7 linked regions of the Kluyveromyces lactis genome follow. The protein of the gene in region 6 purifies or fractionates together with the protein of the main gene of each other region. This does not show direct contact. Links are inferred from orthologs where the notes say so. Each region holds a gene or a part of one and is shown on either strand. Other genes may lie near its edges. The genes, in order: SPT16, POB3, RPB3, CKA1, RPB4, SPT6 and CKA2.

Region 1 (3,993 bases), on a different chromosome or scaffold from region 6:
CGACTTTTCCTGCAATTCTATCTGGAATTGTTCATAAGTGAAAGGTTGCAACGATCGTTGGTATAAATTCGGATGGCGTTCACAAAGGTCGGCAAATAGATGAAGAGACTGCAAAAGAAGACTTGCTAATGTGAGGTGTAGAGAGTAATCCCCAAGACTTCTCTTATTAGATACCGACAGGTTGTACATTTCCGGATAAATAGTTATCACTTCGTTAATAATATCGATAGCATACGCTGAAAGGATATTGAGTCTTATGGCTAATCCATCCAAAGTTTCATCCCTAAGTGCTTCCTTTATCTTCTCTACTCCCTCAGTTAAATCACCTGCAAGAATTTGGTATGCAGAGAGTACAATAGGAAGTATTTGCACTTCTAACTCTTTAGCCCATCTGTTTATATTTCTTCTTGTAGCCAAAAGATCATCGGATGCCTTGGAAAACAATTCGTCATCATGCTCAAGACGTCTTCTTTCTGAGTCTATTCGCATGAAGGCGAATATAAATTCGCTGCTGATTTGCTCCGCAAAAGTAATTTCTCGCGACATAAAATGTGCAAATCCTAAATAAAACTTTCCAAGATCTATTACATCGTTCTTCCCATCATACATCACCAAAAAAGGATACTTCTTCCTCAATAATTCTGTTAGTTTCTCGCTATCCAGATGGTTAGCAGAACTTAAGTTGTTCCCACTCATTATTTTGGTACAAATAAACCAGTGAACCACCCCGATGTGATTATAGGCTTTGATGTTGATATACACCCAATAATGAAAAGTAAACGTGCACTTTCCACTGTTAACTTCTATTATAGTCATCCTCGGTTCAAAATACATTGGAAGCATCTTAGTATGGAATTGATCTCCAGTCACGTGAAGAGAATCAAATCCGTTTACAGTGATATATTCTCCCTTTAACCTGAATTTTTCAAAATTTAGTAAAAAAAAAACGCGACGCCAATAATGCATATATTATAGTTTTAAATTGAAGAGTAACATTAATAATTTTTGCAAACTATACCCATTGTTTAAGAGCTGGCAGGAAATTAAAGCAAAGGGACTCTTTGGTACTTTTATTGAAATAACCTGCAAAGCATTTCGTGGCTCGGTATTTCAAACTCATTGTTCTATTAGGCGTGGCAGTTGTCTTTTTTGGTTAGATATTGAGGACCCCATTGTGCTAATCTCAAGTAACAATGAGTGACGGAGGAATTGAAATTGATTTCCAAGCCTTTTATGATAGGTTTACAAAATTAGGGAAGGCATATTCTGGATTTGAAGGTTCTCCAAATAGTCTTCTCTTTGTACTTGGTTCGACTAATGAGGAAAACCCTTATCAAAAGACCACCATTTTGCATAATTGGTTGCTAGGGTATGAGTTTCCAGCTACATTGATTGCCTTTTTCAAGGATAAAGGTGTCATCATAACCAGCAGTGCTAAGGCGAAACATCTTTTGCCCGCTGTTACTAAGTTTGAAGGATCAGATTACAAACTTGAGATCTGGCAAAGAAATAACAAGGATGCAAATCACAATAAGAAATTGTTTGAGGACCTCATCAAGCTGTTATCAGAAAACGGTAATACTGTCGGTGTCCCAACGAAGGATTCATATCAAGGTAAGCTCATTCTTGAATGGAAACCGCTTTGGGAAGAAGCTAAAAAGACGCATTCTTTAAACGTAATCGATTGCTCTGCTGGTTTGTCTTCTACTTGGAAGGGCAAAGATGATAAGGAAAAGGCTTACCTTTCTGTATCCAGTAAGGGATCTGACAAATTCATGGATCTTATGTCAAATGAAATCGTCAATGCTGTTGACGAAGAACTAAAAATATCAAATTCTAAGTTGTCAGATAAAATTGAAAACAAGATAGATGATTCCAAGTTTTTGAAGAAACTTTCAAGTGATCTAAATCCTTTGTGTCCTACCGACGAGAAATTCGACGTTAATTTCCTTGATTGGGCCTATTCTCCAATTGTGCAATCAGGTTCTAAGTTCGACCTTAAGGTTTCTGCTCGTTCTAACAACGACTCACTTTTCGGAAAGGGTTCCATCCTAGCCTCATGCGGTATCAGATACAAGAATTACTGTTCCAATATCACCAGAACTTTTTTGATTGACCCGACAGATGAAATGACTGACAATTATGACTTTTTATTGATTTTGCAAGAGAAGATCATCGATGATTTATTAAAAGTAGAAGCTGATCCAACATCTATTTATGAAAAGACACTGGAATTCATCAAAGAAAAGAAACCGGAATTATTATCTCACTTTACTAAAAATGTTGGTTCTTTGATGGGGTTGGAATTTAGAGACTCTGCTGGTATGATCAATGCTAAACCAACCGCTCATAAAATTTCAGAGAATTGCTGTTACAATATTTCACTCGGATTTGGGAATTTAAAGGATAGTAAAACTGGTCAGGTATATGCTGTTCAATTAGCAGATACCGTTCAACTTTCTTCTGATGGAAAGCCATCCACTTTGACCAAGTACACAAAGGCTAGATCCCAAATCTCGTTTTACTTCAACAACGAAGAAGAGAACAAAGCTGCAACTGTTAAATCTGAAAAAAGCAAGCCTCCTGCTTTACCAAAACCTGATGGTACATCGAAGATTTTGAGATCTAAGCTACGTGGAGAAAGTCGTGCTGACGATGAAGAGAAAGAACAAATCCGCAAAGAGAACCAAAGAAAACTTCATGAAAGATTACAGAAGGAAGGTTTACTCAGATACAGTGATGCAGATGCAGTAGATGGCGATGAGAAGCCAAAGCATTTCTTCAAAAAGTACGAATCTTACGTTAGGGAAACTCAAATACCATCCAATGTACGTGATTTGAAGATTCATGTCGACTGGAAGAGTCAGACAATCATTCTACCAATCTATGGTAGACCTGTACCTTTTCATATCAATTCATACAAAAACGGTTCTAAAAATGAAGAAGGTGAATACACTTATCTCAGATTGAATTTCCATTCTCCTGGTGCTGGAGGTGTCGGTAAGAAAACTGAGGAGTTGCCGTATGAAGAGAACCCAGAGAATCAATTTGTTCGTTCTCTAACTTTAAGATCTAAGGATGGTGCTCGCATGAGCGATGTTTTCAAACAAATTACTGATCTTAAGAAGGAATCTACCAAACGTGAACAGGAAAGAAAAGCTTTGGCTGATGTTGTTGTCCAGGCTAAATTGGTGGAGAACAAAACTGGTAGGACTAAACGTTTGGACCAAATCTTTGTCAGGCCTAGTCCCGATACCAAGCGTGTGCCAGGTACGGTGTTCATTCATGAAAATGGTATCAGATACCAGTCTCCATTGAGGACAGATTCAAGAATTGATATCCTATTCTCAAACATCAAGAATCTATTCTTCCAATCATCAAAGGGAGAACTTATTGTGATCATTCATGTTCATCTAAAGAATCCTATTTTAATGGGTAAAAAGAAGATCCAAGATATTCAATTTTACAGAGAAGCATCTGATATGGCTGTCGATGAGACAGGAAACAGCAGACGCAACAACATGAAATTTAGAAGATATGGTGATGAAGATGAATTAGAACAAGAACAAGAAGAAAGAAGAAAACGTGCTGCCCTTGATAAAGAATTTAGATATTTTGCTGAAGCTATAGCAGAGGCATCCGATGGTCTCCTAGATGTAGATTCTCCATTTAGAGATCTTGGTTTCCAAGGTGTTCCTTCTAGATCAGCCGTGTTCTGTATGCCAACGAGAGACTGCTTAATTCAATTAGTTGAACCGCCATTTTTAGTCATAAATTTGAACGAAGTTGAGATTTGTATACTTGAAAGAGTTCAATTTGGATTGAAGAACTTTGACATGGTCTTTGTTTATAAAGATTTGACAAAGCCTGTTTCTCATATAAACACTGTACCAATTGAGCAACTTGAATTCATTAAGACATGGTTAACAGATGTTGATATTCCATATACTGTTTCTACAATTAACTTGAACTGGTCGACAATCATGAAGTCGC
Region 2 (3,582 bases), about 550 kb from region 6:
AAAAAAGACGAGGTAGTTCTCCTTGTCAACAATTTAGGTGGTGTGTCTAACTTCATCTTAACTGCCATCGTTGATATCACGAAATCTTTTTTACAAAAGAATTATGACATTACTCCAGTTCAAAGTATTTGCGGAACTTTAATGACATCTTTCAATGGAAATGGATTCAGTATCACGTTGTTCAATGCGTCAAAGTCATCTGGAGCTATCAAGAAGGAGTTCAGCGAAGTAAAATCTGTGCTTGACTTATTAAACGACCATACAGAGGCGCCAGCATGGCCAATAAAAGATGTCGAAATGGGTAAATCTCCTACATATGACGAGGGTATTCTCGAGGATGTTATTGACGTTAAAAAGGCTGGAACATACGACTTCGAGAAATTATCGGAGCTGTTGAAGGCAGGTGCCGATCAATTGATTAAAAGTGAACCTCATATTACACATTTGGATAACCAAGTTGGTGACGGTGACTGTGGTTATACGTTAGTAGCTGGCGCTAAGGCAATCACTGAAAACTTGGATAAAATATCCTCCAAGTATTTGTCTCAGACCCTTGCAGAAATTTCTGATCATATTGAATCCGCAATGGGTGGTACATCCGGTGGTTTGTACTCTATATTCATTTCGGGCCTTTCAAAAGGAATTATTGAACAATGCGGAGAAAATGATGCGGTGGACAAAGAAGCCTTCGCCAAATCGCTAGAAGTTGCATACGAGACATTGTGTAAATATACTAGAGCTAGGCCAGGTGATTCTACTATGATCGATGCCTTGGAGCCATTCGTGAAAGAGTTTAGTTCAACTCAGGACTTCCATAAGGCCTTTTCCAAGGCGGAAGGAGGTGCAGAATCTACAGGAAACTTAGAAGCCAAGTTCGGCCGTGCATCTTACGTGGAAGACACTGAAGCAATTCCGGACCCAGGAGCTATCGGTTTGGTCGAATTCCTCAGGGGTGTTGATTCCAAATTGTAGATTCATTTTCAAATGAGCTGCCTCCTTTATTCTTTCCACCTAGTTATTATTTTATAACAAACTATATACAGCTTCCTACATTAACCAAATTTATGACCTAGCGGTAATTGCAGTATCATACATTGTTCCTCCGGCAACAGGGGGGTGGGCCTCGACCTGATAGTTCTTCGTGTGTAAAAACTGTCTCTTTTCCGTTCACTCCCCCATCTTACCTCTTGTCAACGTGACGCGAATTGGAAACTTTACTAGAAATGAAAATGAAAAATCGCCAAAGTGTTTAAGATGTTGTTAAAACATGAACAAATAAGAAGACATATGAAACCGTTAACGGTAGGCAGAGTTGTTAGCCCATAGTTTACGTTAGACAGGTCAGTATTACTGAAATCTAGTGATCTTCGTCTTGGATACCTACTTTTTATTTCTTATATTGGGATAGTGGAGAATGAGTACAGATTTCGATAGAATTTATTACAACCAATCCAAGCTCGGTGGACGTTTCCGTCTAGCTGAAGGAGGTCTTGGTTGGAAGGCATCCGCTACAGGTGGGTCAGCCTCTACTCAAAATAATGAACCTTTGCTATTGGCTGCAGATGAGGTTTCTTCCGTTCAATGGAGTAGAGGATGTAGAGGCTACGAATTGAAAATTAGTACTAAGAATAAGGGATTGATTCAAATGGATGGGTTCCAACAAGAGGATTTCAACCTATTGAAGAATGACTTCCAACGTAGATTCAACATGCAATTAGAGCACAGGGAACATTCTTTACGTGGTTGGAATTGGGGTAAATTGGACTTAGCTAGAAACGAAATGGTTTTTTCATTGAACGGTAAGCCAACTTTTGAAATCCCTTACACGCACATCAATAACACTAATTTAACAGCAAAAAATGAGATTGCATTAGAATTTGACACCCAAAATGAGGCATATAATCCTGCAGGTGATGAACTTGTTGAAATGAGGTTATATGTTCCAGGCACAGTTGAAGAAAATGAAGATCAAGATCAAATCATGGTAAAGGACGAAGCAGAAGCAGAAGACGGTGTTAAGTCGGAGGTTAAGACGGAAGAGGGTAGTGAAGAACCAGACGTTCAAGAAGAGAAGACTTTAGCAGAATATTTCTACGAAGAATTGAGATCTAAGGCAGATATCGGTGAAATTTCTGGTGATGCCATCATTTCTTTCCAGGATCTGTTCTTCACTACGCCAAGAGGCCGTTACGACATTGATATCTACAAAAACTCTATCAGACTTAGAGGTAAGACTTATGAGTACAAGTTACAACATCGTCAAATAAACAGAATCTTCTCTTTGCCAAAAGCTGACGACATCCATTACTTGATGGTTTTATCGATTGATCCACCAATCCGTCAAGGTCAGACATCCTACCCATTCTTGGTGTTACAATTCCAGAAGGACGAGGAAACAGAAGTCCAACTAAATGTGGAAGATGATGAGTTCGAAAAGCTTTACAAGGATAAACTAAAGAAACAATACGATGCTAAAACTCACATTGTACTAAGTCATGTCTTAAAGGGTTTGACAGGAAGAAGAGTCATTGTTCCTGGTGAATACAAGTCTAAGTATGACCAATGCGCGGTATCCTGTTCATACAAAGTCAATGAAGGCCACTTATACCCATTGGACAATGCGTTTTTGTTCTTGACGAAACCAACCCTATATATACCCTTCCAAGATATTGCTGCGGTCAATATTTCAAGAGCTGGTCAGACATCTACATCAGCCAGAACATTCGATTTGGAAGTTGTTATGCGTGCCAATAGAGGTACTACTACTTTTGCTAATATTTCTAAAGAGGAACAACAACTTCTAGAGACATTCTTGAGGTCCAAAAACTTGAGGGTAAAGAACGAAGATAAGGAAGCAGAACAGAGACTGCAGACTGCCTTCGGCTCAGACAGCGATGATGATGATGTAGATATTAACATGGGTTCTGCAGGTGAGGATGAAGAATCTGTAGATGAAGATTTCCATGCGTCCGACGAAGATGACGATGTCGCTGAAGAATTTGATTCAGAAGCATCCGCCTCCGATTCAGAAGGTGAAACCTCAAAGTCTGAAAGACCTTCCAAGAAAGCCAAGTTGGAATGAAAAACTCATATATCATGTATTAGTACAAATAAATAAATAAAAAACTATATACACTCCTCGCGGTATTTGTCGAATAATGTGTCTTTCTTTTGTTTGATTGACTAGTTCTTTAATTTTTAGTACATCTAAATGGCTTGACAAAAGAATAAGGGTCCCATCCAGAGAACTAAACTTCAAAGGGTTGAGAGAAGGATAATTTTGCTAAGCCCGTAAAAGTATCGACTGCTTTTTTCATGCTTCAATCATTTAATGGTTCTGTAAGAGTTATTCTATGACTTCTGGTGAAAGATCCTTAAATCAAGAACTAGAATGATGAAATGAATGCACAAAGAAATTTTGATCCAAGATAACTCGCTTCATACATTCGAGGTATATTAGATATTAGTATGATAGCTACAGACGGTACCTTAACTATAGAATATATCATAGAGATTCCTGGAGTTGACGAATTGTCCGGGAATAGTTTCTTTTTCACTATAAGAAAAGATTCATAGCTAAAC
Region 3 (2,741 bases), on a different chromosome or scaffold from region 6:
AGCAGATGTAGAGGGTCTATGTAATGGGATTGATGAAGAGCTAGTGGCTCATTTGTACAAATGGACTGCGGATATTCCAAAAGTGAAAATCGTATACGCAGGCGGCGCTAAGAGTGTGGATGATTTAAGGCTAGTAGAGAAATTGAGTCATGGCAAAATTGATTTGACCTTTGGTAGTGCTCTTGATATTTTTGGTGGATCCCTTGTAAAGTTCGAGGACTGTGTCCAATGGAACCATGAGAAACACGCTTAGCTTCCAGTCTTTGTCTAATAGTTACACTTTCGATGGAAATAAACATTCTATATAGAGATAGAGATATTGAAACATTTTTGACCGTTCAACTTTTGAACGGACGTGGTAGATTGGATGGTAGCAGATGCTGCTAGTGCCTTTGAGTATGCTAGTATTAAGGAATATATGCCTTGTGTTTCGTCAATGAATTATAGAAAAATCGTTGCCTTTCACGATAATTGTGGTAGCTTTTTCTTGTTGTCTTGTCTCACCATGCATCATCGTATCCTGAGCCTCCTACTGGCCCTCCATAAGGATCCATATCTTCTTCCATCGGCACTTGTTGTGATACGTGCGTAGATACAGCTCCTGCTGCGAAATTAACTTTCTCTTGGTCCATCTTCTTTAATGAGAATAATATGTCGGCTACTTTATCCTGTAAAGTTTTGATACCACGTACGACGACTTGTTCCGAAGTGATGGAACCAACAGACTCGACGTTTATGTAAAATGTATTAGGTTTGGCCCTGTAGTCGAAATCCTCGTCTTCGTTAGGAGGATCTTCAAATTCACAATTCTTAGATTGAGGCCATTCGTCCCTTGCATCCTGTTCGTACCAGTAATCTGTGTGTTTTAACTTATTCCATGGATCATATTCAAACTCTATAGCTGCTGATGGTGACCATTTCGCATGTTCTTTTGAAATACCCTTCTTAGCGATACATTTCACTCTTATCTCTTGTCCCTTTCTTAGTTTACAGATTAATACACCATTTGCTTCTCTGTCTTGTATAATTGGATGGCCAATATTTCTACCCTTCAAATCGCTGGTAATCTGCAAATCCTTAGCATAAACGTTCGTCGTGGATTCACTCTCACCGATAGCATGTAGTATTAGCTCTACTGAACAACGGTCACAGTGATCTTCACAGTAACAGTCACGACAGTATACAACTTGATCAATGTCTGCACTTTGTAATGGAATTAACCCAAGTCTATGCGCAATAAATTCATCTGCCAACACAGTAGTATTAGTTTCAATCTCAACAGAATCGATGGCTAGTGTAGGAATCTCAGATATCATGACTCTACGTAACGAGTTTGCTAAAGCCAAGTCGACATTAGAAAGTATAAAGTCAACGTTGTCCTTGGTTGCTTCTCTAATTTTTACTTGGGGACCTTCTTCGCTCATTTGTTCTTTCGCAGTATTAAACTCTGATTTCTCCCTAAGATATGACCTGCTCCTTGCTCAATCAAATACCAGAGTATTGACCAAACTACAGCAACGAAATGATTTGTTCTCGTTCCCTTGGTGCATTCGATTATTGTTTTATGAATTTTTCACTTTTGTTCAGTTGGAAAATTTTTGAGCTTTGGCAGCGTTTGGTCACGTGCATAGGACTATTCCATCAATACTGTTTCAAATAGGCTCAGCTAAGAATAATATTGCTCGGAGTCATGTATATATAGCCTTTATTACCTATAGTTAACTTCTTCGAACAATAGTGGCCCCATTTCTTTCTTATTAGCATTATTTCTTCTTTGTAGGACCTTCAAATCGGTTTTTGAACATATTAGAAAGCTGATCCCACGCAATAGGCGAAATATCAAGTACAATTACACATCACCGAATTTAAAATAAGGTGAGTTATCCACAGATAATCAGCCTTTTACCATGCCTAAAGGAATTGCCCGTGTGGATGAGAAAGTTTCAGTAAAGGCGTCATTGCCAGATTTGCGATTTGAACAGACCTTTAAGCAGTCCTTGAGGAAAGAAGCTTTGAAACAGAATAAATTAACTCTATCGGTGGCTGATGGATCTGTCGTAGATCCTCCCATTACACCATATATCGTTGCAAAAGTTGTTGCTAGAGATATTTTGATAAGTCCATTTTTGCAGGGTGTCTTTCTCTCGTTATTTTATATCGTTGCCAAGCCATGGTTACAATATTGCAGACAAGCAGGACGTAATATTGGCAGAAGTATAATTAGGAACTTATTTGGTAAGAATGCGATATACAGGCCACCAAGAAACATATAACTGAACTTCTTCTCCTAGGGATTATAGAAGGATTAGGATACTATTAACACGAATTCTCTTGTCGTCGTTCTGTTCCTTCTTCGTCAAACAGAAACGACGATAATCTATATAGTAAAATATAAACTAACTTAGTATGATGATGATTTAATGTACATTACGACCAAAACCAACACTTTATTTCTTTCATACGCTCTGATAGTTCGCAGTAATCCAAGAATAACATTACCAGGCATGCAATATAGAACAGGATTAGGTAGTGAAAGCTGTGTTCCGCCACCGTTTTTTCCAAATAACGAACTCATGAATCTATTCCAGAGCGATAGTAAGTGAAGGTTGGGAAGGTATTGGCTTTGTATCATTATTATTTGTTATTTTTGTACTGAGTAAAAATTTCGGAGTCATGGTCATTAAGTGAATTGTCTGGAACCACCACGGACAAATTCGAGGATCTTCCAACCTTCGGTTTCC
Region 4 (3,080 bases), on a different chromosome or scaffold from region 6:
GAGAAATTACTGGATTCACAAACATTTTGGAGTGATTTAAAGGCAGGAACGGATTCTGCCTTTCACGTTATTTTCCAGAAAAGGTGGGAATATCTTATGAAGTTCGGAAAAAGATTAACAATTCCTATTGTTCCCTATTTCGGACTAGCATTCAGATTCTGTCTACAGATTTTGTCATCGATTTTGGAACACTGCAGAGAAGTTCATTGTGACGGATGTAATATCCTTCAAAGCAAGAGGTATGTTCAGAGTGAGTTATTGATGTTGAAAGACAAAACGTTCATTGCAGAATTTCAAATGCTTGACTGGGCTCAGCTTCAGGATCAAAACAGTTCCACAACATCTGAAAACTTTCTCAATGAATGTCAATAATAAATTCGTAGATTTAGAAGCACCCGATCAAAATATATCCTCCAACACTTATTATAGGAAAGCTCACACAGTTGTTATTAGTATTATTATTATTATTAACTTCATAAAAATATTGATCTATGGAACGGTTATAATGTGTATTCGTTGTTTCTAATTGGAGCAAACCATGGATGAGCCATAGCTTCTTTACAAGAAAATCTTTCTTGATGGTCGTAACGAAGAAGATTATCGATTAAATCAATGATATCATCGTTTCCACATAGGTGCTTGTTGGAATCATTGACGAATTTCTGCCATGGTCTTCTGATGTATTGATCCATATCAATAAACTCATCTGGGAGTGTTATCTGATATTTCTGTAAATATCTTTCGAAATCATCACTACCCAAGACGCGTACAATCTTGACTAGCTGGTCAGTATTACTCGACCCATAGAAGAAAGGCTCTTTCAGAAAAACCATTGATGCTAACATTGCTCCAAATGACCATAAGTCTAGCGAGTAATCGTACATTCTATAATCAACTAGAAGTTCTGGGCCCTTGAAAAATCTTGACGCAACGCGGACATTGTATTCCATCGATGGATGATAAAATTCAGCCAAACCCCAATCGATTAGTCTCAATTTGTGTTGCTTATGGTCAATCATTACATTGTGTGGTTTGACGTCTCTATGCATAATACCCATCGAATGGCAGTAGTCCAAAGCTTTCAAAAGCTCGAACATATAATAACGAATATCAAGATCCGAAAATGAAGCATACAACCTACGGAATTCCGTATTGTCGATATGTTCAAAAATCAATGCAGGTGTCTTGGATATGGGATCTCTGACCACATCTAACAATGTTATAATATTCTCATGCCCGTTATGAGGTAAGTCATATACTTTATCTCTCGCATATTTCAGTACTTCTTCTCTTCTGTTTGTGTAATATTTTGCCTCATCGTAAGGTTGCGCAGTTGGCGGATTCTTCTCATTCGAGAGGTTTGCAAGTATGGTAATTTCTCTCTTAATCTTCTTCTTCTTCACAGGTTTTAGCATCTTAATGACAATCTTATTTCTCGTGGATAACTGTACGCCTTGGAAAACTTCACTATATTTACCACGGCCAACTTTGCATTCAACTTCGTACTGTGAGTTATTAGCCTTCCATTCTATTGATGTATTTTCATAGTCCCAGTATCTTTGACCACGAATCTCGTTGGCATCACTATAGACTCTTGCCTCACTCCACACTTTCGATTTCATCTTCCTTTTAATAATGTACTGGAAAGTCTCTAAAACTACCACGAAATTAACAACGAGAACGATTGCCAGCCAGTTTTTTGTTGACCTTTTCTATTTCTATAAACAGTGGTAATAATGAGTCCGAGAAATCCAAACCACTCACCGTATATAATCCAGTACGTTTGAAGCTTTTGTAATGCCTATACTCAAACTGGAATTTTCATTTCTGGGTTATCTGATTTCTTTTCAGTTCATGTCTCTCTTGCAAAAATTGACATTTCGAAACTACAGTATGAGGAGTTAGGGTAACGGTTTTATGTATAGAACAATTCTAGCCAATAATTGTGTTGACTGACGAACCGGCAAAATATAATGGTGTTCATTTAGCATTTATACGTAGTGTATGTGTGTATAATTTCTTACTTTATTTATTCAATTGATTATAATTTCTGGAAGTTTTCAATTAATTCGGAGTGTTGCTCCTTTTGCAATTTGGTAGAATCATCGTTACGTTCTCTCAACACGTTGTAAATATCCAACGTCTTTTCGAAATACACGATTTCGAGCATTGATCTAAGCTTAGATTCAATATCTTCAATCATAGATCCCAAGCTGGAAGAGTGAGCGGGTACTAGCTGTTCAACAGTAGATACGTTTTGCAATTTTACGGTCTTGGAATTTTCTCTAGTTAGATTACCGGACAATGATAGTTGTTGTTCTTTTGATAGGTTTTCCAAGTGCAAGATCACCGTTGTAGTGACATTATATGTGACTTCCATACCCTCTTCATCGTGGGTGGCAGATATGACGTGGATACTGTCCCATTTAGAATCATCTGATTCAGCTTTCTTGAAAAGAATGACTCCCGCGAAATCAGTTGATTCATCAACGTCCCAGAGATACGTTGAAGTGTAACCACCCTCGTAGTATAGGTCCCTATACAACTCGAAAGAATTGTTGCATGCAACTTCTAGTTCTCTCAATGGCTCACTGGGAAAAGGACTTTCTTTCAAATCTTCGGCACTCAATTCAGGGAAGTACTGGTTAGACCACGGTGACCTATGAGAATCGATGTCACGGTTGTAGTCGCAACATAAGAATTCTTTGTTGTTAGCATCGGTATCCTTCTTAATGGTCAATGGGATATCAATTGAGGAAAGTAATCCTTCTGCGATTTCAGGCTCCAACGCAATAAGGTTCTGTAAATGGGTTTTCACCTTTGTTGGATCCAATCTGTATAAAAGCTCGCAAGCAGCATCATATTTCTCGTCCACAGACATTCTAGTTCCGTATCTTCAGTATATTTACAACTAGTTACCACGCTCAATGAGTTTTCTTCAGTTTGCTTGATGTATTTACATTTACCCTTTCTACTCCTTTAATGATTTCTTTCGTAGTTTTCCTTTCAATACGATCGATGATATTTTTCTATTGAGAGACATTGCCAGTATCGCTTACACTAGTAAAATAAAGTAGAAG
Region 5 (2,515 bases), on a different chromosome or scaffold from region 6:
AATTCTACATCCTAACAACAGTCTAAGCTTTTTGACGGATACCACGATGGTGGGACGTTTTTTCCCTGTTGTTGATTCGAATACAGACTATAATCTATGTCATTTCTGGTCCAATTTCGAAATTGGAGATCTAAATTTCTTTAGAAGTGACGAGTATCTTCAGTATTTCAATTACTTGGACTCCAAGGGTGGGTTTTATTATGAACGTTGGGGTGATGCACCCGTGCACAGTATAGGTGCCTCATTACTTCTAGACAAGAATGAAATCCACCACTTTGATGAAATTGGATACAGCCATGTTCCATTTGAAACATGTCCCACGTCCATATCAGCACGATTAGTGCTCCGTTGTATGTGTGATCCTAACGGCGAATCTAATATTCCCATCCACCCAAACAGTTGCTTGATGAGATGGTGGAAAAACGGTGCCGGCAAACTATTTATTAGATGATGGAGCAGAGGTGAAACCGGGGATATATATAAGATATAGTACATAGGTTTTAGTATAAAGTTTCCAAATTCGATAATTCCTTTAGGATTCTTTCTAGATCTTCGTCAGATATCTTGGTTCCTAAACTTGGAATTAGAGTCTTGGCTTCATCTGCATCTTCGCACGATAGAGAACCCAATTGCGCCACTTCGAATGGATGCAACCCTGTGGATGATAAAAGCTGTGATACAGCGGTTACTGTTTCCTGATCACGGAAACGTGAAAAATTCGTTAGGTATATCATGGTCTGCTTCAACGCTTGATTCTGTCCACCAGTGGTCTGTTCAAGCAATCTATCTATATCCTGTAACTCTTTCTCCTGTGTTTGGGTATGCACATTGACGTTATCTTCATCATCCATGTCATCGTCCTTATTTGATGCACCATTGCTTGCCCATGTCTTGAATAATTTCCGACGGTTCTGTAGCGTTTCCTTTATAATCAAACGAGACTCACTCAAATTTAAAGCCACTAGGTTTTCCTCCTGCCCCTGATGGTTGATTTGCTTCAAATTAAACTCTTCTCCCAAGTGTAAAGTGGCAGCATTCTCTTCTTCAACAAACTTCTTCAACCCACGTCTCTTGGTTTGAACAGTGGATGTAGATGTATTCATGGTAAATTCGAGCTGTTATCTATAAGAGCGGTCCAAAAAAGTAGACGAGTGTAATCACAAAAAGTGCTATTCCAGTAATCAGCCACTTTGACAACGGTACAACTTAGATAAATGTAACTCCAGTTGATGTTTCGAGTGACAAAGTTAGTTTACCTCTCGTTTTAATCGTAATTGAATTTCCATTTTTTTTCCTAACGGTAATTATGCGAAAACTCAACATCAGAATATTGGCCCTATGACTTCATGACATGAATGTTCTCTGTATTTAAGGTATTAAAGTGAATCTTGGCAAAGCTGTTTGTTTGTACAGGACACCAGGGCTTATTTTTAGGGCAGCGCTGTATGTACTTGGTACTCATCGTGATTAGGTATAGCCAGATTCGAATTTAGCTGTTTTTTAATATAGGAAGGCGTACATTCTTTAGCTGGTTTTGTTTCTGTTACTGTTTTGCTATAAGTTCTTTAAGCGAAACTCAGGGTTATTCAGTCGATATAACGTTTAAAAGGTATTTCCGTTGAAACTTTGAGTTGTGAATTGGTCATTTCTTTGTTGGAAGAGAGGCTTTTCTAATATTTTGCTGCAATAACGTGGTTAGACGTTGACTATAATCTGATATATAATAAATGGGGGATAAGAATAGCCTTTGGAACCCTGCGTTCATGGCTTCTCAGCAGGGAGCGTCGAGTTCGAATCAGAACCAGAACTTTTCTCAGACGCAGGCAAATACCCAGAATCAGGGCCCAGAGATTGCGCCTGATGGGCCAGCTGGGAGTAGCTCCAATGCAGGCGGGAATATATATGCAGGGCAGCAACAAGGCGGAAATGCGGCTGGTGGTTTCCAAATGCAGTCGCCACGTCAATCGATATTCAAAAACCCATGGCAAGAGATTCCCCAGATACCTGAGTCTCAGAGGTCTACTATGAGGAAGCAATCCAACTTCCCCTTGCCCACTACTTACGAAGAAGATAACGCTGTAGATGAATCCTCACAACAGTTCAGAAGGAGAAACTCATCTTTAGTAATACCACCTGCGCGTGCGGCAGGGCCTGATCCGTTCCTTTATGAGAAGCAACCGTTTCCCAACTATAATGATGCACAAAGAAGGCAGTCGGTTGCTGTCACTGGTGGCAGTCAACTTTCGCCACAGCAGGTAACGAAACCATCTCAGCTTAGGAAACCTGGAATTAATACTGCGGGATATATGGCTGGCTCCATAAATTCTTCTGTGTATCCCGCTACTGCAGGTGCATACATGAGCACGCGTGGCGGCTCAAGTTCACTTCCGTCGTCAAGGCCACCTTCTCCAATAATTATTGTCCCTAAATTCAACAAGATATTTACGAGACAGGACTTGAATCCCGTTATACATTCCACACCGAAATATAGACGTGCTTCATTAAGCAGCAAGAC
Region 6 (4,197 bases):
CAATACCAACTAAATTCACAATATCTACGAAAGAAGTTTCCAAGGCTTGTAAAAATAGCTCCCTAGTCAATAGGGACTGATGACTGTGTATTGACAAAGATAGCAGTTCTTCATTTGTTAGATTAGCGTATTCCAACAATGGAGAATGAATATAACGACCCAAAGCTATACAATATTTCACCAATGTAGGCTTGCTTGGGAATTCTTGTGCCGCACGCTCTGATGATTGATAACGCACAGCAACCTCATCCTCAACGTAAATAACTGGAACATGAGATCCTCTATTATCGACGATTTGTTTCTTCTGAACAATCTCCTGTATCTTTTTGTATAACCTTTGCGTACTTGGGTTTGGACCATTAATACCAATGACGTTTGGCTGGCAATGCTGAATGATGTCGTCTAATGCATTTTCGAACAACTCCGGTTCTTTTCTATCAAATGGATTTTCAACAATCTTGTAGTCTCTTACAAATTCTGTCTTCCTGTTCAAATAAACTGCAATGATCGCATCAGAGCCAAATTTACCCTGTCCACAAGTGATGGTTAGAACTCTTGGAATCTTAGGGTCCTTTGGATTAGGAATGAATGGTGCCTGATCAAGCTTGAACATGAACTGATGACGGACGGATTTTGTAACCAGACGCAAACATGTTTTCTTCAATTCATCTTTGATTTCTTGGCTGACATCAGAGAATACCTTGTTTAGAGCAGAGTCAAAAGCATCTCTTCTGAAAGAGTTCCATTCCGAAGCGATTTCTGAGGTGTTACTTGTTTCGAGAGATGTTTGGAAAAGATGATTAGTATATTGATCTTGAGAAGACACATGAATCTGAATGTTCATTAAATGCAAAGATTCGGCTTCTAACATCCGTAAGAAGACATCTGGCTCTGAGCGGAAATGGGCTGGAGTTCTACCAAGAGCATATTTGATATCTTCGTATGGGGAACCTCTTTGAATCTCTTTTCTACCTTTTGAAGTCAATGCAACATCCACAATATAGTACTTGTAAAAGTCATCTCTGATCTTTTGCCTTACCTTAGGATTTTTAGAAAGCTCTAGTGCGTAGTATTTTTCGATTGTTTCTAACGCCAATTTAGGATTCTGGGAGAAAATCTGAAGATCCTTGGCCTCTGGTCCTTCTAAAATATTTGCTACTGAATCAGTAGGTTTCAATGAAGGGTGATCAACAACCGGATGAAGTTGATGCTCAGCACTGATATTTTCACCAACTTGTTCTGCAGTAATCCCAGTATCATTGATAGCTTGGTATAATGCACTGGCCTTGAACTTTTCATAACTTGAGTTTTTCAAATGCTTCTTGGATGTTGCGTCCTGCTGCGTGGACAATAGTACATCATTAATTTCTTGCGCATATTTGAATTCAACGTAATCATAAATGTCCTGTAAGGAGTTCAACTCTGTCATGGATTGATTGCTGAAGTATTCATCCACAATTGGATCATGAATATCCAGCTTTTCGTAGAAAGTTTTCACGTAGTCCCTCTTGTAAATGATACTGTGGAACTCGGTATCATAAAATACAATATCCCATAAGTCATCTTCGATTAGCACAAATCCGTCTTTGCTTCTTGAAGAGATATAGTTACGACGGTAAGCATAAATGAATGAAACCTCGAGGTTTTCCTGCTGAATGAAGTTGATAGCATTTCCAATGGCTTCTTTGAATTCCGTAGTATCGTAATCGGCATCAAAATTTTTATCTACTGCAATCTTGTCACTAATCCAGTTCTTTTCAAGCTCAAGGTCTTCTGGCGATAGTTTACCGTAGTTCTTCAATCCTGTTCTCAACTCTTGGTATCTCTCTGGAATGTCTGCCTTTCTGATGTTCATATCTTCTTCAGTTAACAAGTTCTTCTTCAAATCTTGCAAATCGTAAATATCTTGCAAAGTAAGCTTCTTTTTCCTTTTGGAATCGATACCGAGCTCATTTTCATCCTGTTCGTTTTCTGAAGATTCTTCAAGCCGATCCAGTTCTTCTTCATTTTCGAGTTCAAGAGCCCAATCATAATCATGACCGTCACCGAAAACTTCAAACATTTCATCCACTTTATCAGGAGATAATCCAGTAATCTGTGTAGGCTGGGCCAACCTTTGTTCCTTAATTCTCTTCTTTTCAGCGATTCTAAACTTTCTAGCTTCTTCATCTTCGTCAGAAAACTCATCTTCCTCAATGAAATCATCCATATCATCAGCCAAAGTGACTGTTTTTTCTACACCCTTTCTGCTTGGAGCTCTGCCAGTACCATCATCTTCTAATTCTTCCTCTTCTTCTTCTTCTGAGAAGAAATCGTCAAGTTTATTGGTACGAGCCACCTCAGACTCTGGTTCCGCCGAAGCCGATTCTTCTTCATCATCACCGACCCTCTTTAATCTCTTTAATTTACCGCTACGTTGTTTGGCAGCCTCTGAAGCTGACGGACGTTTGAATCCAGCATTCTCCATCAAAAGGTCTAAATCATCCTCATCTAAGGCTTCATTTTCTTCTTCACGAGCACGTCTCTTTCTCCTGCTTTTCTTTTTGACGACTTCATCTTCTTCTCCACCTTCTTCATCGTCATCAACAATGAAGCCCTCCCTCACCTTCTGAGCTTCTTCTTCATCGTTGTCTAGATCCTCATCTTCTTCGCTGGAATCAAACACATCGTCTCCTTCTTCTTCGTCACTTGGGCCTTCATCTCCATTGACATTATCGTCAATAGCAGGCTCCTCAGTTTGGTCTTGTTTGTCGTCCTTCAAAACGGGCTGAGACTGCTTTTCGTCCTCTTTGTCAGACATGGTGCTTTCTTACCAATATGGATATATATGGAATATCCGCAGAAAAACACACAGAATCAATGGAAAAAAGACAAACAGATGATCCGTATCTTGATGTTGGGTATATCTTACCAATACAAGTAATGAACTGATTTCAATCTTTCTTACTATATGTCTTAAAGTAAAGGGAAACACTACTCGTTCGTGTAATTATCATTCGAATGCGTTTAAAGATTCAATTCCCAATTTCCATGTTTTTCAACCAGAACCAAACTTTTCAACACGTACGAAGTGATAAAATATAAAGACTTGGTGACAGATGAGCGACTACCTAGCAGTCTTACCAAACTTATACAATAGTTGATATGCGTGGACCATTCCTTAACCAGTCGAACTTCAAAATTATATGCCAATTCATGATATTAACTGTTTATCCGAGTCATTAAATTATTTATACGCATGATATATAGGATTTAAAGATTAATACTAAGCAGGAGCTGAAGTAACCTAAATGGCACAAGACCCTCATTCCATTTCTTCTAGCACGTTGGAAAAGCCTTAGATTATTTGAAATTTTCAGCAGGTAATAAATCTACGTTCATGTTTCCCGCCTGTTCTCTTTGAGTAGCAATGCCTCTAATTTTTCTTTCTGCTTCTTCCTCTGGATCTTCATCACCATTGCAGCAGCATCCGACTTTCTTTGGCACTTTTTCGGACGATTTAAACGTGTTTAGAGGTGTAGTAGAGCCGGCGTCAGCAGTGGCTTTGCTAGATGCAAAGGACCTAGTATCATCGGTAGAGGCAGATGGGCCAGGTCCACATTGGCAAAGCTTGAAACGTCTTTCCCATTCCTTTTTCAATTCCCATGCCTTCAACATGTTGATCTTGATTCTGTTAAAGAAGATTTCGGCCAGAGATAACCCGAGTATGACAGCAAACACGTATGCAAGTACGAATGTCATAGCAACAAGCATCAACATATATATTATCATGGTAGAACAAAAAGTGATCAATAACCGTACAAAATCATGGAAGAAATCAACCCAGTCTGGGGCGAAAACGTTGAACATGAATTTGCCGAAACTAGTTGGCAAGAATTGCCTTTGTAATTCCAGATCTTCGATAGTATATAACACGTTCTTACCTGTAGCCTCATCGTTCTCAGCTTCCTCATTGACTCCTGCCTTCTTGAACCATTTCAATTCTAGGTACCAGCTCACAAATAACAAGAATTTGTATACAAAGGCAGCAACAACGATAAGCAAGAAGATACCAAATGCTTCACCGCGATCAGAAGCATAGAGTTTCTCAAAGACAACGGGATAGTTCATATATTTTCTTGTGAGATAAGAGTTCATTCCAGTCATTTCGGAACCACCATCCATGTCCATTCCAGACATAGAACTGGAAGTACTAGT
Region 7 (2,939 bases), on a different chromosome or scaffold from region 6:
AGATTGTTTTTTTCCCTGTGATTGAGAAATATAGACTAATAATAATGGCATTTTCAATTCTCATCACTGAACTTTCACCGCAATAATAGTTTCGATCATGGGTTTTTGTAACTATTTCCACCCTGTTTCATATTCCTTTGGTCTATTTCCTTTCCTACTTATAGTAGTGTCTCTCTCTCTGCGCCTGCGCTAGTAAGAGCCTTTTCTTTCAGGTTTGGTAGCTATTACACCTATTAATTATATATCCTTTTTAATGAATTAACGACTATCATAATATTACATCTTCTTTAAATCTTAAGCAAAAGAGACATGTGTTTCTGTCCTCTTTTTCAGGTGTTGTATTAATTATATGTTATTAGTATACATGCTTTTAATTGGAAAGCAATCAAAGACAGAAGAAGAATCCCCCAAAGTTAACCATAAATGGAAGATAAGAGGGAAAAGAAAATTTGATGATAGAGAGATGAGAAAACAGATATATATTACCGTTTAGGCATACACTATGAGAAATCTTTTTTGAAGAATTTATGCTCCATGGCTTCTTTTGCAGTTAATCTCTCTTGGTGATCATAACGTAGTAAATGGTCGATCAAATCAATTATTTCGTCCACAGCCAACGGCGTCTTATCATTGGCGAAATAGCTCCATGGTTTCCGTTCGTAGTTCTTCATGATATCGTTGTATTCTGCAGGAAGATCCAATCCGTAATGTTTCAAGTAATAGAATAACTCCTGCGTACCAAGTACCTTGGCAATTTTCACCAATTGATCTGCATTCGTGCTTCCTTTGAAAAATGGCTCCTTCTTGAAAACAATAGCTGCTATCATACATCCGACAGCCCACAAATCTAAAGAGTAATCGTATTGGTTTAAGCTCACCAAGAGTTCAGGTCCCTTGTGATAACGAGACGCCACCCTGATGTTATAATCCACTCCCGGATGGTAAAACTCTGCTAATCCCCAATCGATCAACCTTAGCTTACGTTCATTAGGATCAATCATGACGTTTTGAGGCTTCACATCACGATGCATGATACCCATCGAATGACAATAGTCTAAAGCAGTTAACAATTGTGTGAAATAAAATTGCGTATCCGATAATGTAAACGATGGATAAAGCGTACGGAAGTCGACATTTTTCACCTCTTCAAAGATCAATGCCGGGATTTTGGATCCTGGATCTTGAACAATATCCAATAATCCAATTATATTAGGTCCCCCTGTCAAATTAGTTAACACTTTTAACTCTCTATAAATTTTCTTCATCTTCACTGGCTTGAGAACCTTGATGACGCATGGTATATCGTTCAATACAGATTTCCCTTTGAAAACTTCACTGTATTTACCACGACCAATCTTTTTTATCACTTCATAGTTCGAAATCTTACCCCAATCAATCATCACGCATTGTTCATAATCCCAGTACTCTTGAGGGCGTTTCTCACAAGCATCCTGATACACCCTAGCAACGCTATAAACTCGTTTGCTCTTCTTATTCAACGCAGAAGGTTGTAACGTCGACATGATGAGAAGGAAATCAAAAAAAAAAAAGAGATGACCTCCCTTTTCCCGTTTTCAAAACTTAGAGTCTGATGTGATCCAAAACGGTACTCTCTAGCCTCTGTAGTCTCTAACCACTTCCAACTTCTGGCTGTCTATTGTTCAATTACGTTGAGCAATAACATTTTTTTTCTTTGCCTTCACTTTATTTCAATGTTGAAAACTGAAAGCATTTTGTTTGGAGCCGTGAAAGCGTCGAGAGAAAAAAGATTCGTATGGTAACAATGGATATAAGCTAAGCTTTTGCACCGTGAACCACAATACAACGGCGGACTTTCATATACAGGGAAACTAAGACTATAAAGGAGGTGAATACATTGTCTGGTCAGTTTCAAATTGTTAAGTGAAAGTAGCAAACGTGAAAGAAGACCTCGGTAGGCCTGGTATTAGGGGAATTGGACCTGGAGAGTTGCGCGATGAACCTATGACACTAGAAAAAGAACTTATCTTGAGGCTTAATGTGGGTCATAACACTGTGATAAGAGACGTCCAGTTGTGGCGTGAATTTGAGGACGGTGATGGCCAAATTGCAGTGAAAAATTGTCTGGCAGAAGTTGTTGGAATGGTCAACATTGATAAGCTGCCGTTTTGGCTCAATAGAGGTCAACGGTACCAATGCTTCACTACTAGCGAGACCAGCGTCAATTATTTCAGAGCGAAGTTGATGAGACAACGACACAGGAATCGAGGAATTGTATGTAAAGTAACGGGATCCCAAGTGTTGACGAAAGAGCAATTCGAATATTTCCTATTCTACAAGCGTTTGAAGACCGATATAAACGCGTCTTTCGAAATTGAATCGATGGTACTTCACTTATCGACTAAACACGAACTTGATAAGAAATTGATACCGTTATCAGCCGACGAACTACAATCTGTTGTGCCAAGTAACGCTGGAGCAACGATGTCGATCGAATCGATTCTAGAGAAGAACAAACGTCAGCGAATACTGAAAAGTAACTCGTTGAACAAACAAGTCTTGCTCAACGATCAACAGCAGCAATTTATGTCGTTGCTGTCTCAGTGCATACTTTCAGGACTCAGGCTACGAGGAGTTCATCGAACTCAACACGAAAAATTGTACAAGATGACGTACAAGGCGTCTGAATTCGCTTTCAGAGACGAACTCAGAGAAACTGAACCCATTAGTTTTGAATCGATCCAAGACTGTGTAGAAACACTACTGAAACTGTTTACGAAGACCTGACTTTCAAGAAGTACATGCATATACATAGACAAAAGTAAACAAATTTTCACCGCATTTACGTTAATTGAACCGTTCACAGTTCATCGCTGCAACGGATTTTTAGTTTTTTTTTATTTCCTTTGCTGACATATTTCCAGAATATAGTTAACAGACAAGCCACATCGTTTACTTAT

What was found.
Region 1: the proteins of SPT6 (region 6) and SPT16 purify together in Saccharomyces cerevisiae (affinity purification with mass spectrometry; 5 studies listed by BioGRID, with this or other methods). This does not show direct contact. The link is inferred for Kluyveromyces lactis from reciprocal best matches to the Saccharomyces cerevisiae genes SPT6 and SPT16.
Region 2: the proteins of SPT6 (region 6) and POB3 purify together in Saccharomyces cerevisiae (affinity purification with mass spectrometry; 4 studies listed by BioGRID, with this or other methods). This does not show direct contact. The link is inferred for Kluyveromyces lactis from reciprocal best matches to the Saccharomyces cerevisiae genes SPT6 and POB3.
Region 3: the proteins of SPT6 (region 6) and RPB3 purify together in Saccharomyces cerevisiae (affinity purification with mass spectrometry; 9 studies listed by BioGRID, with this or other methods). This does not show direct contact. The link is inferred for Kluyveromyces lactis from reciprocal best matches to the Saccharomyces cerevisiae genes SPT6 and RPB3.
Region 4: the proteins of SPT6 (region 6) and CKA1 purify together in Saccharomyces cerevisiae (affinity purification with mass spectrometry; 3 studies listed by BioGRID, with this or other methods). This does not show direct contact. The link is inferred for Kluyveromyces lactis from reciprocal best matches to the Saccharomyces cerevisiae genes SPT6 and CKA1.
Region 5: the proteins of SPT6 (region 6) and RPB4 purify together in Saccharomyces cerevisiae (affinity purification with mass spectrometry; 3 studies listed by BioGRID). This does not show direct contact. The link is inferred for Kluyveromyces lactis from reciprocal best matches to the Saccharomyces cerevisiae genes SPT6 and RPB4.
Region 7: the proteins of SPT6 (region 6) and CKA2 purify together in Saccharomyces cerevisiae (affinity purification with mass spectrometry; 3 studies listed by BioGRID, with this or other methods). This does not show direct contact. The link is inferred for Kluyveromyces lactis from reciprocal best matches to the Saccharomyces cerevisiae genes SPT6 and CKA2.

The regions. Positions count from the first base shown.
Region 1 is NC_006042.1:906,785-910,777, forward strand, and holds the start of SPT16 (chromatin-remodeling protein SPT16), read left to right. Parts: upstream 1-1,193; coding exon 1,194-3,993. Other genes in the region: KLLA0_F09867g (uncharacterized protein), read right to left, coding at 1-966. UniProt on the Saccharomyces cerevisiae protein: Component of the FACT complex, a general chromatin factor that acts to reorganize nucleosomes. The FACT complex is involved in multiple processes that require DNA as a template such as mRNA elongation, DNA replication and DNA repair.
Region 2 is NC_006038.1:444,718-448,299, forward strand, and holds POB3 (FACT complex subunit POB3), read left to right. Parts: upstream 1-1,414; coding exon 1,415-3,082; downstream 3,083-3,582. Other genes in the region: DAK1 (dihydroxyacetone kinase), read left to right, coding at 1-972. UniProt on the Saccharomyces cerevisiae protein: Component of the FACT complex, a general chromatin factor that acts to reorganize nucleosomes. The FACT complex is involved in multiple processes that require DNA as a template such as mRNA elongation, DNA replication and DNA repair.
Region 3 is NC_006040.1:1,362,309-1,365,049, forward strand, and holds RPB3 (DNA-directed RNA polymerase II core subunit RPB3), read right to left. Parts: upstream 1,425-2,741; coding exon 501-1,424; downstream 1-500. Other genes in the region: 1-(5-phosphoribosyl)-5- ((5-phosphoribosylamino)methylideneamino)imidazole-4-carboxamide isomerase HIS6, read left to right, coding at 1-253; KLLA0_D16192g (uncharacterized protein), read left to right, coding at 1,908-2,273; protein translocase subunit TIM44, read right to left, coding at 2,681-2,741. UniProt on the Saccharomyces cerevisiae protein: DNA-dependent RNA polymerase catalyzes the transcription of DNA into RNA using the four ribonucleoside triphosphates as substrates. Component of RNA polymerase II which synthesizes mRNA precursors and many functional non-coding RNAs.
Region 4 is NC_006041.1:381,416-384,495, reverse strand, and holds CKA1 (casein kinase 2 catalytic subunit CKA1), read right to left. Parts: upstream 1,623-3,080; coding exon 501-1,622; downstream 1-500. Other genes in the region: CAP2 (F-actin-capping protein subunit beta), read right to left, coding at 2,042-2,881.
Region 5 is NC_006037.1:539,818-542,332, forward strand, and holds RPB4 (DNA-directed RNA polymerase II subunit RPB4), read right to left. Parts: upstream 1,104-2,515; coding exon 501-1,103; downstream 1-500. Other genes in the region: KLLA0_A05775g (glycosyltransferase family 15 protein), read left to right, coding at 1-451; serine/threonine protein kinase YAK1, read left to right, coding at 1,728-2,515. UniProt on the Saccharomyces cerevisiae protein: DNA-dependent RNA polymerase catalyzes the transcription of DNA into RNA using the four ribonucleoside triphosphates as substrates. Component of RNA polymerase II which synthesizes mRNA precursors and many functional non-coding RNAs.
Region 6 is NC_006038.1:995,001-999,197, forward strand, and holds the start of SPT6 (chromatin-remodeling histone chaperone SPT6), read right to left. Parts: upstream 2,801-4,197; coding exon 1-2,800. Other genes in the region: high-affinity Cu transporter CTR1, read right to left, coding at 3,343-4,197. UniProt on the Saccharomyces cerevisiae protein: Histone H3-H4 chaperone that plays a role in maintenance of chromatin structure during RNA polymerase II transcription elongation thereby repressing transcription initiation from cryptic promoters.
Region 7 is NC_006042.1:1,518,384-1,521,322, reverse strand, and holds CKA2 (casein kinase 2 catalytic subunit CKA2), read right to left. Parts: upstream 1,524-2,939; coding exon 501-1,523; downstream 1-500. Other genes in the region: SLD7 (Sld7p), read left to right, coding at 1,984-2,766. UniProt on the Saccharomyces cerevisiae protein: Catalytic subunit of a constitutively active serine/threonine-protein kinase complex that phosphorylates a large number of substrates containing acidic residues C-terminal to the phosphorylated serine or threonine.